Lytechinus pictus: one gene and its partner. The protein of the gene in region 2 interacts with the protein of the main gene of each other region in a pairwise test. Links are inferred from orthologs where the notes say so. Each region holds a gene or a part of one and is shown on either strand. Other genes may lie near its edges.

Region 1 (7,904 bases), on a different chromosome or scaffold from region 2:
AAGTAACTTGTCTTGTCGACAAAATGAGATTATACCTTGCTAAATCGACTTATTAAAGCCCGGCGCACACTATGCGATTCGTTGCGATCCGAATTTCAAAGAAATTTTGATATGTACATTGGCGTAACCACTGGGGGCATGGGGGCACGTGCCCCCCCCCCCCAAAAAAAAAAAAAAACAGAGGAAAAGGAGAAAAAAGGGAGAAAGAATGAGAAACGTATAGTGGGGAAGAAGAAATTTCATTATATTATGTTTTTCGTAGCTTTATGAAACATAATTTGCTTAGGGCCTATATGTGTTCATCATTCCTGGTTCTCGCATTGTCTGTTTAATGAGATATTATAATCCTGCTGTACTAAAACATCCCGTTTTCAAGTCAATATACACCAAATATATTTCCTCGCACTTCGAGTTATCGTTATTTTTGGTAGTGACATATGCTTCTTTTACATAGATATCTAAAGTGATTGCCCCCTTTATAAAACATATCCAGTCTGGGCTTACGTTCGCATTAGTGAATTGGTGAGATATGTCTGCTCTTCATGAATTCCTAAAAACAATTCCTAAAATGTCCACTTTTCCGGTCTGAATATAAAAAATTTATCAAAAATCAGCCCGGACCATCCCTTTAAAATGTCCTGTTTGGGGTCAATATAGGCCTATACAAAAATTGAAGCTCGCGCTTCGCGCTCGCATTGCTTGTTTGGGGAGACAGGTACGTGCCATGATTACAAAAATTTGCTTATGTCAGTCCTTTTTTACGTCTGAATATAAAAAATTTCAGCTCGCGCTTCGCGCTTGCATTATTTTATCAGTGAGATACAAATCCATTAAATGGCACAGTCCTTAAAATGTCTCTACAAGGTTAGTATACCTGGCAATTTCGCGCGCTTCGCGCGCCCACTAAGCGACCCAAAATTTTAGCTGGTGCCCCCCAATGCCGTGACCCACGGTACGCCACTGCATGGATATGTACACTCAAACCAAAGACTCCGACCAATGATAGCGAAATCGAAATTCAGTCTATAGTTTGAGCCTCCCTGTAGGCCTATAGGAATAAAGGCAAATTATCCAAATCGTAATGACATCATCATCGGCTGTGACTTGAAACCGATTTGGACTTTAATCCGACCACAGGGCTTGCCCAAACCATAATTATGATGTTCTTATTCCTAACAGTTATGCCGAACTTCAAATGAAATAATTTTAATTCTTGGAATTTTCACATTTAATGCAAAATGCGATTTACTAAAAAAAAAATCGCGTCGCATCAGATAACATAGTGTACGCTGGGATTAATATAAAAGTAAAATCTCAAAATGGCGAAATAATAGGCATTCGTTATGTTGCCAAGTCGACTTATGAAACGTTGAATGTCGACATGTCGAGAGATGAGTCAACCACATCGTATGGAATATTAGAGGAGCAGCGGCGTAACAGGGGTCGGTGGCCAGGGGGGCAAGAGCCAAAAATGTCCAGGTCATATCATGGTATGAACAGGCATAAGGTGTAATGAGGCGACGATTTTGAGAGGGCCAGACATTGCGGATCAGGCAGAATTTATCTTTAAAAAAAAGTTGCGAGCGAGCAAAAAATTTTGACATTTTTAATACAAAAATCCAATTTTTTGACAGATTTTGACATGATATCCAGAGAATAATATATTTCACTCTTCTCTCTTTCCATTCCTTTTTTGTGGTCTGTACGCCACTGTCAACAGGATTCTTTGCGGCAGTAGCGTGAAGAGTAAAAATAAGCGAGCGAGAAAAAAAATCACCTTTTCATGAGAATCTAACTTCGAGATATTTTTTAACATTATATTCAGTAAATAAATCATATCCTACACTTTTCCTTTGCTTTTCTTTCCTCCTTTTTTTTTCTTGGTTGTAGAACTTCTGGGGACCATGGCCCAACCATTCCATACTCATGTACGGCAGTGCTATGCGGTTGGGGTCCGGGGCAGAGCCCCCGGAAATTTTTTATATCAAAGCCATTTAAACCTCGCAGATTGCCGCCATTTTCAATCAAATCGCGGGTATATACAGAATATAGCTTTTACACAACACATTTATTCAACCCAGTTGAAACAAAATATGGGCAAAACGTAGCAATGTGGAAAATTTGTAAAAAGTCGCCAGCGAGCGAAGCGAGCTGGAAAAAAAATTGCCTATTGAAATTAAATTCTAATTATGCGTTAGGGGAGACCGGGGCTAGTTTGCACTTGTAAGGGTAAGTTCGCCACCCTCGTTTTTTTCATAATCTATACCGGTGACGTCAACGACGCATTTGCGCTATGTCGTGTGACCGACGCTGCGCGCACCAGCCACATTTTTTTCGCCATTCAAGAAGATTTGAAATTCTATCTCGAAATTCATCATTTTCGTCAAAGTGAGTGAAAAATTGGTCCTTATTTAATATTGTATATGCTACTATATGCCTAGATAATTTCATGCTATCAATGCCAGTTTCCGATAAGCAAATATGTGCCCTTTTTATCCCCGAATGTAATTTGCCTATCCCTGCCTCCCCTGTTTACACAGAGTCACTTGAGCATGATTTGCACCCGTGAGGCTAGTCCGCCGTCTATCAACGGGGCATGATCGCCGGGGAGGTGAACATGCCCCGTGGAGGAGGCGAATTTACCCCGGTCTCTACTGGAAATAGAAAATAAGATATGCTGTGCGCTTTTATTTATTTATTTCAAATCTTTATCCAGAGTAGCCTGTTCAGTTCAATATACTTAAATATATTAAATTACACAAATATGTACAATTAAAATGGATAAAAAATCACTGGTCTTCCACAGGCACAGGGCTCTGCATTATTATCTACATACATATAAAAATGCATAACATGCAGAAATCATTTCATTATAAGAATAAACATCAAAACAAAGCAAAAGAAGACATCAATTATCATTATAAGAATCAAAATGAGATAGCAACCGGAAATGTTAAGGAGAGAGAGAAAGAGACCTAAAGATGCGACGTTTATGTATATATTAAGAAGTAATATTTTGCACACTTTTTGTTTTCAGGATGGTACGCACATAATTTATGCCAGAAAAACAGAACGGGCGAGAATTCCGCCTGACGTCGTGAAGTAGAAAGTGTTACCTCTTACTTCAAGACTGGTCTTAAAATTCAAGTGCAATGTGGGTTAAAGCTTAGCCTTACGAAGGTTTGGTCAGCAGTATCTTTTTATTTATTTATTTTGTATTTTCAATTTTAATTTTGATTTATTTTCAATTTATGAAATTTTCAATTGAATTATTTTCGTTCTATGTAAGAACAACGAGTTTTCTGGTTTGTTGTTAATAAAGCAGTTACAGAATTGAATAAAATTGTATAGTTTATTTCTTTGGCAAACTTGCCCCGTCATAGGCGCAATTATACCCGGGGGGTAGGTGAACCTGCCCCAACACGGGGCAGGTTCACCTACTTCGAAAATTTTCATTCAACATTGAATTCCTAAAAAAAGTGATAGCTGATAGGATTGAAGTGATGCTGTAATTTAGCAAAGAGTCATAGCTATCAAATGAAGACATTTGGGCACTATGTTGACTTGTAATTTGGACTGTATACGGCGACTTTAGTAAAAAGGGGGCGAACTAGCCCCGGTCTCCCCTATAGAGCCATTTGAAGGTTACAGATGAGAGCCCCTACTCGATCCATGGGGTCTGGGGCAAATCCCCGGTACCTTATTTGCATAAAATTTAGCAAGCTTATAGTTCAATGTTGTATGCAGTCCATCTTTCTTCCCGCTCTTTATTTTCAATCCTCGGCAGCCCGGTCGAGTTATTAAGTTTTTTTTTCTCTTTGTTTTCCAATTTAGCTTTTGACTATTCCATTCTACCTTCATTCCCCGCTATTAATTGTTTGCCATGCATTTTGTCATCTTTTAATTTATTTCCCATCATGCTATTGCATTACATAGGCCTATTTCGGAATGATTTGTTCTTTCTCAAATGTTCTTCTTTCGTTCCTTTTCCCGCTTTCCTTCCTTTTGGGCCTTTTCCTCCTTTCCTTTTCCCCTTTCCTTCCCCTTTCCCTTTCTTTCTCCCTCCCTTTTCTTTTTTTTCCCGGTTTTTTTAATTTCCCGGTGAAATCCGCCAGGGGGGCAGCTTAATTGCCCGATGCCCCCCCCCCCCCCCGCCTGTTACGCCACTGTAGAGGAGAACTTTTTTGTGTGCTATATAGGCCTATTAGAGTTGGCGCTGTTGAAGAAAATGTGGCGCAGAAAAAGTGGACGAAAACCAAAATGATAAGAGAACACTAGAAGTGAAAATACAATCTGGGCATTACCAAATAGCCGTGTTACGATCTGCGTGTAGAAAAAATGTGGTTTTTTTCAGAAGCAACATGGCATAGGGCATTCTAGTAAATCCACTTGTGTGAGAAAATAACTATTTTCATCACGGCTGAGTTATGAAGCAATAATTATAGATGGAAATGGGAGCCGCATAAAAACGTCAAGTAAGGCGAAGTCTCTTTCTTTTTTCTTTTTTTTAATTTTTCCTTACAGAGGGGGGGGGGGGGCTCGCCGCCACAAAATTAGGGGCGTGATCCCCTATGCGGCCCCTAGGCTCTACGCTAGATCTGGGCATGTCATGATCATCCCTTTTCATCAATATTTTCGTCCGACAAATTGTCAGATGTACGCCACACGAATCTAAAAAGTACCTAGACCATATCATCAAACAACTAAATAACAAATTGAATGACCTTTGAATTTTAGTGTACAATCGGTGAAATTTAAATCTCGATTTAATTTGTTCAGAGAACTTGCTCAAAAACCTGCTAATCCGATGCTAAAATAGCTAGGCCTATATCAAAATCATGAAAATCCTTTATTCATCCAACACACTAGCTCTTTAATTGTGGCCTTCATGTATAAACATATTAAAGCATGATTATTTCATATTTTAATAAGCCTTTAATAGTAATTTTTTTAGACGGAGCACGGCTGGCTGTTAGAGGCCGCACAGAGGCCGGCCGAACCGAGCTAGGGTTAGGCTCGGCGAGACCGATCGAGCGGATTTTTGACCAATCAAAACGTGATCTCAAACAATAACGATTTGAACTGTCGACACGTTTGTTTACATTTTATTGATTCGTGCGGATCGAAGTTTCGTACAGAGCAGAGCCAGAGCAAAGGTGTGGAAACATTTGATTAGCACTTGGTAAGTTAATGTGTTGTAGGCCTAGTTTATTTTCAAATAAGTAGAGTCTATTGCCTATTGGTAATGTTCCGACAATTTGATTAGAATTTAGAGATTGGGTAGATCTCGAATGAATATTTTGTAAGTCGGACCGGACCTGGCGTTATCATCGCACCGCGCTGGTACGTTGCTAACCCAGGGCCAGGCCCAGGGAGCTCGGGCACGCGAAGCGGGCCGGAGCCCAGGGGAGCGTTTCATCAATATTTTCATCCGACAAGTTGTCAGATCTGACATCTTTCCATGATTTTGATTGGCAGAGAGGCACTGTTCCTATGGTAACTGTCGGATAAAATGGGACTTGTCGGATAAAACGTCCGACAAGTCCTTTCATGAAACGCTCCCCTGGAGTCGTCCGTGTAATACGAGACAGACCACTCACACAACATGCGAGGTTAGTATACTGGAGACAGACATATTCTCCAAGATGGGGTAGATTGGGGTCGCAATAGCACTCAAAATAAGGGGGAAAATAAATTATGCACTTATGGTAACTCGATTATATGGATGAAGGTCTATCGTGAGACAGAAATCCTGACATCGAGGCACAAACTGGACCCTCAAAAAAAGGAAAAGTTCTGTCTCGTTCGTTCTCCTTCTGTCAAAATTGAAAACAAAATGGCCGATCGATACCGAGAACGAATGTGACAGAGGTAAAACTTTTCCTTTTTTGAGGGTCCAGTTTGCGAGCTCCCTGGGTTAATACGTTGCCTGCCCTCGCTTTGAAGGTCAGTAAAACAACCGGTGGTACGATGGGGGTCGGGTGTCCGGACACTTGACTTTATATTTTTGAAGCCTTCTTTTTTGTCTTTGGATCGGATTACACTATATGAATTCAATAGTTGTAATCATCTTCTATTTTGTTCTCGCTTCGGTCTAATGTTATGTTGGTTGTTCCGCTGAACTCCGTTGGCTCCACTCACCAAATACAGAGACCGAAGTTCTAGCTCAATCTGTACAGGGGACTCGATGGCCATATGTATTAAGTTTGGATAAAACAGGGAAGTGAAGTTGCGCGACAGCCTAAGTAAGTCACTGTTTTTTCCCCTTTTAAGTTTATTTTTCCCCGTTTTCGTGCATTTCAGGCCAAAACGGAATAATAATCTTTATTTTGGTACAGGTCTTTTTATATATTTTTATGAAAATCGATGAGCCCCGTCGGGGGAATTTTGCATTGTTAACCCCCTAATGGTGGCTGCACGATAGCGAGCCGTCTGTGTACGAGGAGAAATTAGAAGGAAAAAAATGTTACAAAACTCCTCGAAACAGACGGCTGCCAGCTGTCTAAGAGAAATGTTGACAAGTATATCCACTGAAATATAAAGAAGAGGATACTATAGTATAGCTATACATGGTGTAGTTCACATTCTGATACTGATCATTTGTTTGTTTGATTTTTTTTCTTGTGACAGACACTAATTTTCTAAAAATCAACAGAGATGGCATCAAGAGCAAGGGGACCTAATGAGGAAGGAGGATTCGTCAAATGGGACTGGAACAAAAACAAATACATTTGGGTCTCAAAAGATGACATCAAAAAGGTTGGTATTATATTTCTTGATCAAACTATCAATTCAGAAGCCAATTCTGTGAAATGAACATTTTGAACAAAGGCCAAATTCCACCAATTTTTTTTTATGGGTCAAACAATTCTTGATTTCAAAGCATTACATGTATGATGTATGTCAGCAAGTTTGAATTGCAATCTTACTCTTACCTTTGTCCCCGAAATCCAACTAAACACAATATTGGAAAGCACCAAATGAAAGCCATTCTTTTTAGTAGCACTGAAATGTTTTGTATATCACTTCACCCTTAATTTTGATTTATGATTGTATTGGTAGTGTCAATGAATGGGATGGGAAGCTCCTTTATCTATTAAATATTATATTGTCTCAGTATGTATGGTTATGGTATGATGATTGTTTGTCAATATGGTATGATGATTATTTGTCTTACACATATAGTGAGACCACCACATATCAACCACCTCTTTTGAAACTGACCACCTTACGCGCATTTAAATTATTGCGTATTACAAACGATACGCGCGGGAGAGTAGGCGCAGTGTCCATAGGAACGGTAAAATTTGATTTTACAAGAGAAAAAGAAGGGGGGAAAGGTAAAAATTTAGTAGAATTTATCAAAATTGTTTTGACTAGACCCGAACCCGCCCCGTTTCCGATAGGAAGGGCTTTAGAACAAATATCCGTCGTCAATCGTCGAATCATGTGCCGGAGCTCGCAGTGGAAGTAGTGAGACGATCATTTAGCATGTTGACATCATAGAACTGATTTGGAAGATTCGCCACCGCGACAAGAATCGGCCGTAAACTTAGTGTATCACGGGTGGTCGGTTTCAAAAGAAGGGTGCAAATGAGCAAATGTAAAACCGTCGTATTCGTTGTTCGCCAATATATACGCGAATTGAATCAGAGTCACTGATCAAAACATGGGAATCTGATCTGCTTAATTTTCTGCACAAATGAGACGAAAACTAGGTTAAACTGATAAATATTTTTGCAGATACGATGCTTAGAAAATTAGGTGGTCGATAAGGGGTAGTTCCAACCATACTGAATATTATTTTATGTCATTATCTACTCATTCTTACAATTATCCTAGATTAAATCACTTATTGAATGATCAACTGTCTTATTTTGATGCTTGGCATAACTACAAGTCTC
Region 2 (7,196 bases):
TCAAATATATTTCTGAAAGAAATTAAAGGATGATTCTATAAAATAGTAATATCAAACAAATGATAATAGCTTGCAATGTATTTATAGTGCTTACTACAGAAATGTATCTTAGGCCCTATAAAAATAGGTTGAAAAAAAGGATGTTCAGCAAAAATGATATTTTATAATTTAAATTTGATAAATTAAGAAGCTGCATATGCTAAGAAAAATGACTGTTTAGTTAACAAAGAGGTTTTGAAATTGAAATCATGAGGCTTCAAACATTGATTGTTGATTAAAACGAAATTGGTATAAAATATACCTGAATCATAAGAAAGACCAAGTCCATCTCATGCCAAACTTAATTAAACGAAAAAAATGTTGCTTATACCTCTCGTGTCCCTGCTTATACATTAGCCCATCATGTGTGTCATTTATATCCTGGAATTCACGTCCCAAACCTTTTGTCAAACAAGAAAAATGTTGTGATTTTGGGATTTAAGAAGCAAGATGGTCATTTGATCACGAATGATAAATCGGAATGCATGAATACATCCTATCAACCAAGCTACCATATTTTTATCACAAGTGTCCACTTTCATGCACAGATAATCCAATGGAATGCTTAATACCCGAAGCACACCGTCCTTTTCTATTGACAACAGAATGCAGGCAGGAATTCATCAAAGAGAGGAGCAACGGATACCTGCAATAAGGATCAAAACAAAATGAATATTAGAAAATTTGCTCTTCGGTATTCTTTCTGGAAATATATCTTCGTTGATCAAGCAATTAATAAATCCTTTACCTGAATAAGCAAAATGCATTTTTTTCTATTTTTCATTTCTCCTGCAATAGGAAAGTTAGCAGATTATCTATATTTTTTTTCTTCAGTGAAATCTTTGAAATTGTCTTATTTCACATATTAAGAGTATAAAATTAGAAAAAAATTTGACCAACAACATTGAAACTTGATAAAAGACAGTAAAAGACATGTAGTAGGGGGCCAATATATTTTTTCTTCATTATCACATACCTCTAGTAGGTGTTGAATACAGAGAATATCACATTGAAAACTGAGTGAGTATACCAACCTATACATTTACAGAAGACCTGTTCTTCCTGCTAAGTACAGGGCTTGTTCCCCATCAGGACTCCTGATGTAGACATGGCCTGGATTGGCCCCAATCGATAGCACCTATGACTCTTGGAAACCTGAAGCAATCATCAAATTGTCGCTGGGTGGTTTGAATTTCTCGTCATTGGAAACTTTATTCACTGTTACTCCTTGCTATTGCCTCAGAAAAATCTTTGATGATTCTGCACACGGATGACTGTGATATAGTTGCTTTGTCTGCTTGCATCTTCTAAAAGGTACCTTTAGTTATCGAATGATAAGTGATGTTATGTAATTGGTTTATTGATATGAAAGCCAATTGATACTTTACCATTTACGTTTGCAAACATTGTGCTTCTGTTATGACCTGATGTTTATGATGCACTGGAACTGCTTAAAGAGATTTTTCTTTGATTCATTAAAAAAAAAACTCTACTGCAATAACAATCCATGCAAAATGGAGAATATCTCTCTAGCTGAAATGACATACCAATATTTCTTTTTGAGTGGTTATAAATCATCCTTCATGATAATTTCCCACTTGAATATGACATATTTGTATTAAAAAATGTTGCTACATTGTAAAAAATGAGAGAAAAATAAAATCCCCACCTATTTCCAACCCAAAGGGTTACGTGTTTCATTCCGACAAAAACCTTTCTGTGAAATACCCCCAACACTCCCCCTCCCATGTAAGGGGTTACTAGTACTCCTGGCTGAAAGCAGAAACAAAAATCGTACAATTTGGATGATTAATAATGAATATTAGGTTTTGCATTAATTATTTCTGTAAAACATGTGCATGTTTTCATGAATATGCAAGAAATAGCCTGATGATGTCACATCCACACATTTTCCACACATGAATGTACAAGGGTTCCATGATATTTGCTCTGGCGACAATTACTCAATGGAAAATCTGCATGCTAAGCAAAACATGAAACTTAATTTTCATGACTAGATACTTCCAATCCTTGATCCTTACATTATTCTGAACTCGCAATAACTATCTTAAATATATAATCAGCAGTCAACCCCATTTTTACATTCCTGGAGGAAAAAATTAATGATTATAATTTCAGATCACTAGAGAACAAGTGGGGATATGAATATTGCATATGAGATACACAGAACTGTTTCCCCCAAGTTATGTAAAACTTTAAAACTGAATCAATTCATAATTCTCCATCCAATATTGATGGTTTTTGCTAGTCGAATTGTTCTTTATCAAAATCTCATCATTTTTGGCCTGGAAAATCACTTTCATAGAACATAATTTGACCCCCCCCCCCCATTACCCTCTGCTTTATAGTTTGCACATGAAAACTCACCAATGACATAAAAGAAAGTCCTGTCAAAACCTGTAACATGACAGGCAATGTGTGGTTCTCTCTGTTGGTACCCCACTCTGAGAGGTTCATCCTCGTAGTATTCAAATGGATTCTTCCTGTCTCTTAATCCATGCTGTGGTCTTTCTATGTGTTGCTGAATCTGCATGGAAGTTGGAAGATTGTGTTGAAGAGTCACCATGAATGGGCAATTTACTCTTTGAATTTCATTTAATTCAAAAGTGTTTAAAATGAGGAACAGAATGTGAAAGATTATACAGAAATCCTTAAAAAAAGATAGGATAAAAATTCTAATTGACATGAGTAGCTTTTCTATTTACCTACTTGTAAAAGTGAAGAAGAAAAACCTGCCAATTGTTGCTGATCATCATCATTGATCAAACCACGCACGTCTTAGAGATGCTTCTATGAAAACTGATTAACTGAATCACTTTCAATTGGCTTTAATAAAGAAGGCAAGGCACTAATTTTATGGAACTTTGTTTACACAAATAGAGGTTATTGCTTGCGAGTGATTTTCGAATAACATATTTTCATGAATCTTCATCAAAGTCTCATTAAACCTTTTTTTCTACCCCCCCCCCCCCCGGCATTCATCAGACTGACAATGTTTTCTTTCTCTCTTTTAAATAAATATTCAACAAAATGTCAGGATTAATTGGAGATCAACAAGCCTTAAAAAAAAAGCTAGTGACCAGTAGACAAATATATATGTTAATAACACACAAGCAAGGTCCCCCCCCCTCTTCTTTTTTGTCAATTACTATGACAAGAATGAAAAAGTAACATACATGTCACATGATACATTTACAATTACATGATGAATTCAAATCCCGGAAATAATATTTTATTTAAGAAGGCCATTTTAATGACATTTAATTTTTTTTAAATATGAATTGATAAGGCATACCTCACTCTCTTGCAAGACGGCACAGCAGTTCAAAATTGTGAGCCATGTTTGCCTTGTCTTGATTGATCACAATCTGCCGAGTATGTATGGTCTGTTGCTGATATGGAAGAAAAAAAAATAATGAAAAAAATATTCATTCATCAATCATACTGCAATGTCAAAGTATAAAAAAAAATAATAAAGCAGCTACAAATGTAGATTGATAAAATCCGCTGTTTCAGAGGAGTCTTGTAACATTTTCTGATTTTTTTTTTGTGGGAGGGGATGCTGCGGAGCCACATGAAGTCTCAGGGGAGCATATCTCTGACAGAAATAAACCTATTTATCGGTCTACTACAAATGTAGAGGACTTAAGATCAAATGCACTTGTCTGTGGTCTCATGTGAATTTAACATTGAAAGGACACCTTGTGAAAAAAAAAATACTTGAAACAAAGAGGGTGGGGTAGAGAAAATAACCCCCAAAAGAGAGAATTTTCAAAGTTAGACCTCAGTTAGATCTACTCAAATTATTAATAAGGCCTAGGATTTCCATTATTTTGTAATGTTTTGACGACACCGTAAATCTAGTATAAGTGATCGCAAATGCGATGCCGAAGGTCAGTAAAACTTAGTTTTAGTAAAAGTAAAATCAGCTCATTTATAGCTGTTGGAGTAAACAGCGGTGAGTGGAACCCAATCTTTTTTTTTTTTAATTTCCAAAAATAATTTAATCAGGGCTTAGTCCACTCATCCTACGAACGAGCCTTAGTCTTACTAGAGAGGTGACCCTTATTATAATATTTTTTTTTACTCCAACGATGTTGTAGGACTAACTCTAACATGGCTACCAGGTAAGCTTCATAGCTTGACCATCTATCCAAGCCAAGGCAAAGCCAGCCCAGAGTAGAATGTCTATACCGGCTCTGTATTTGTAACGTTAGTGTTTAAAAAAAAATTATTTGTAATTGTAATTTGTATTGCTGCTATCCTGCCAGGAGTCCTGGCCTTGCCTTGGCCTTGCTTTAGGCAAAATTAGATGCACAGTAGATTGTGTTGGCAGAGCCAGGAGAAGTGGCAGGGGTATCGTAGACAACAAAAATTTCATGAAAATCACACGAAATCGAGAATCACTCAAAATCACTGCCTGGCATAACTAGTAGTAGTATCGGCCTTTCAATCACGCCTACCTTGCCTGTGTAGTGTACGCTAATTGCGTCTCGCACTGCACTGCACTGCTCATAGATATGAACGCACACAAAAGTACATGGCTGGGACTGAGCAGCTTAGAGACGCGACGATAACAATGATTCAGACCGATTCAGATACCATTTCAAGTTTTCGAGTATACTTTTTGGAAAGTTAAAGCTATCAATAATAGTTACAGATGGAACTGAAGGCTCCGTCATGATTTAAGCTCCAAAAATTATGTAATTTACTTACAATCTCGGTGGAAGTCGTGAAATATGAAGCTTTAGATAAGCCGATCACACCAAATCTCGTCTCTGTCCAAAAAACTTTTTTCTTGCATGCAGCAAACTTTTCCGCAATCGAAATGCTGCTCTCTGATTGGTTAAAACAGTGGACTAACTTTAACCCACCGATTTAGTCCACCCCAAAGAGCTGACTAAGTCGTGACGTCAAATGACGCGTTTTATACCCCGGTATAACTTTAGTCGACCTTTGTGAATCGCAAAAGTTAGCCCCTAGGTGCTAACTTTAGTCCATGGATTAAAATGACGTCAAATGACGCGTTTTATACCCCGGGTATAACTTTAGTCCACCTTTGTGAATTCGGGCCAAAAAGATTAATTGGAAGATGATTAACCCTTGTCTAATTTAGGAGATACTTTTGCATTTTCTCAACCAGCTTGCTAGCAAGTACAAATTGCATATGGTTGGAAAGATGAAAGAGTACTTTAAAAATTGATACCATTCCAGAAACTGTATGTGATGCTGTTCCTGATTAAAGCCAAGTATTTTGAATTAATCATTACCCACTCAAAATTGGCAACATGATAAAATCACAATTTAAAAATGCAAATTGGCAACTCTTCAATACATGTATCCCTTCATAATTGATTTAGACTCGTGTCATATTTCCATATTTCATGTTCGAAGTATAATGAATAGGAAATTCATGATTGTTGCCAATTTAACGAGCATAGGAAGATTAAAGATAAATTCCAGTTGTGGGAACGATCTCAAAATGACTTTCTACAGAATTTAATATAATGATCACCAAAGTGTCTGTTTGTATGAATATTAAATATGTGCCAAAGGATTCTGGAAGAAATTGTGTAATTGCTGAGAAATAAGCGCGGATTCGGTCACTTCCGTTGGGTCTTTATTCCTGCAATAATAATACACTGTCTCACGTGTGCCTATCTGTGTTGGCGATCTTCAGTGTGATCGTTTTTTAGCTAGATATTATGATTTCACAAAGTTCAGTTTATGTAACTGTACCAGATTTAGATCCACGATGATATATCAATACACAGGGTTGTTTGATTTAAATCATGTCGATTTAAATCATGATTTAAATCGCGATTTAAATCACTTGATTTTTTTCAAAAAAATCACTGATTTAAATCAACTTTTATGAAAAAAATTAGTTTTCTCTATTTTCTCTTCTTCTTAACAGATACTTTCAATGTAATCATTTTCATTTCTGTTCCACATGCTTTAGAGATACTTTAAAAGAATGATACACCCTCATGGAGTCTGATTTAACACCACTGTTTTATTTTCAAATTGTAAAACAAGCAAAACTGATGAAAACAACAAGTTTCTAACGAAGTAATGATAAATAACTCTCTGTATGTACACCAAACTGTTAAATCTTCAATAAAATAATATATAAAATCTACAAAGGTGCTCAAAGTCCACAACTTGGATACTATTACAAAACAGCTGAACTACTTGTATGTACCTCCTTCTTGTTACTATTAATACCCATTCTTTAAATTACTTAAGTTGAAGGCATATGTGTACATTGCACTTTTCATGGTGTGTTTTCATCCGCTTCACAATCCCCATCAACTCAAAACCACATAGTTTGCACTTTGCTCTGCATCCAGTTGCAGATTTTGATGGCAGTTTCTCAAAAAAGTACCAAATGGGGTCTGATTTTCTTCCAGACATGCTTATTCATGCATCACAAAAGCTGCAAAACCCTTGTTTATTAGCTATTACCAGCTGATAGTTGGGAAGTCCCCCATGTGATAGTTTTAGGAAATATTCCTAGCTAAAATCCCCCATGTGATAATTCTAGGAAATATTCCCAGCTAGAATTCCCAAGGGCAGTATAGGAACCCTAACAGGCCTTTAATAATGTCAATTTTGTTGGAAATTCTAAAGTTCTTTGAGTACTTCATGCATTGGAGTAACACTTCGGATGTTTTGAACTGACTGATATAAAAATTTCAAGAGTTTAAATGTATACATAATACATAACATTACTTGGGCTTCCATAAAATTTCCCTCTCTATAATGCAAATAAATTAAAAAAAAAAAAAAAAATTACCTGTATATAAGTGGATTATTGTGTCAAATAGTACAATACACAATGTTCAAAAGACTACTTGACCACTATTATTGGTGTAAAACAGTTTAAATATAGTTTAAAACTTGTTAAGTGTGACCATTATTTTTCGTTGGAAAAAAATCAAAAAAATCTGATTTAAATCATAAAAATCCGATTTAAATAAAAAAAAATCAAATTTTTTTGATTTTTTTAAAAAAATCAAAAAAATCAACAACCCTGTCAATACATTACCTTGGTTTTACAGACTTTCTCACGAAATCAGTGTTTTACTGCAACTACGTTCATTTAGCTTTAATTTGAACTTATGAAAGCTCTA

What was found.
Region 1: the proteins of microfibrillar-associated protein 1-like (region 2) and KATNB1-like protein 1 interact in binary tests that used the Homo sapiens proteins (3 or more experiments, as listed by UniProt). The link is inferred for Lytechinus pictus from reciprocal best matches to the Homo sapiens genes MFAP1 and KATNBL1.

What each region holds. Positions count from the first base shown.
Region 1 is NC_087251.1:16,893,785-16,901,688, reverse strand, and holds the start of KATNB1-like protein 1, read left to right. Parts: upstream 1-4,893; 5' UTR 4,894-5,182; intron 5,183-6,630; 5' UTR 6,631-6,657; coding exon 6,658-6,759; intron 6,760-7,904.
Region 2 is NC_087250.1:22,583,564-22,590,759, forward strand, and holds the start of microfibrillar-associated protein 1-like, read left to right. Parts: upstream 1-4,176; coding exon 4,177-4,187; intron 4,188-7,196. UniProt on the Homo sapiens protein: Involved in pre-mRNA splicing as a component of the spliceosome.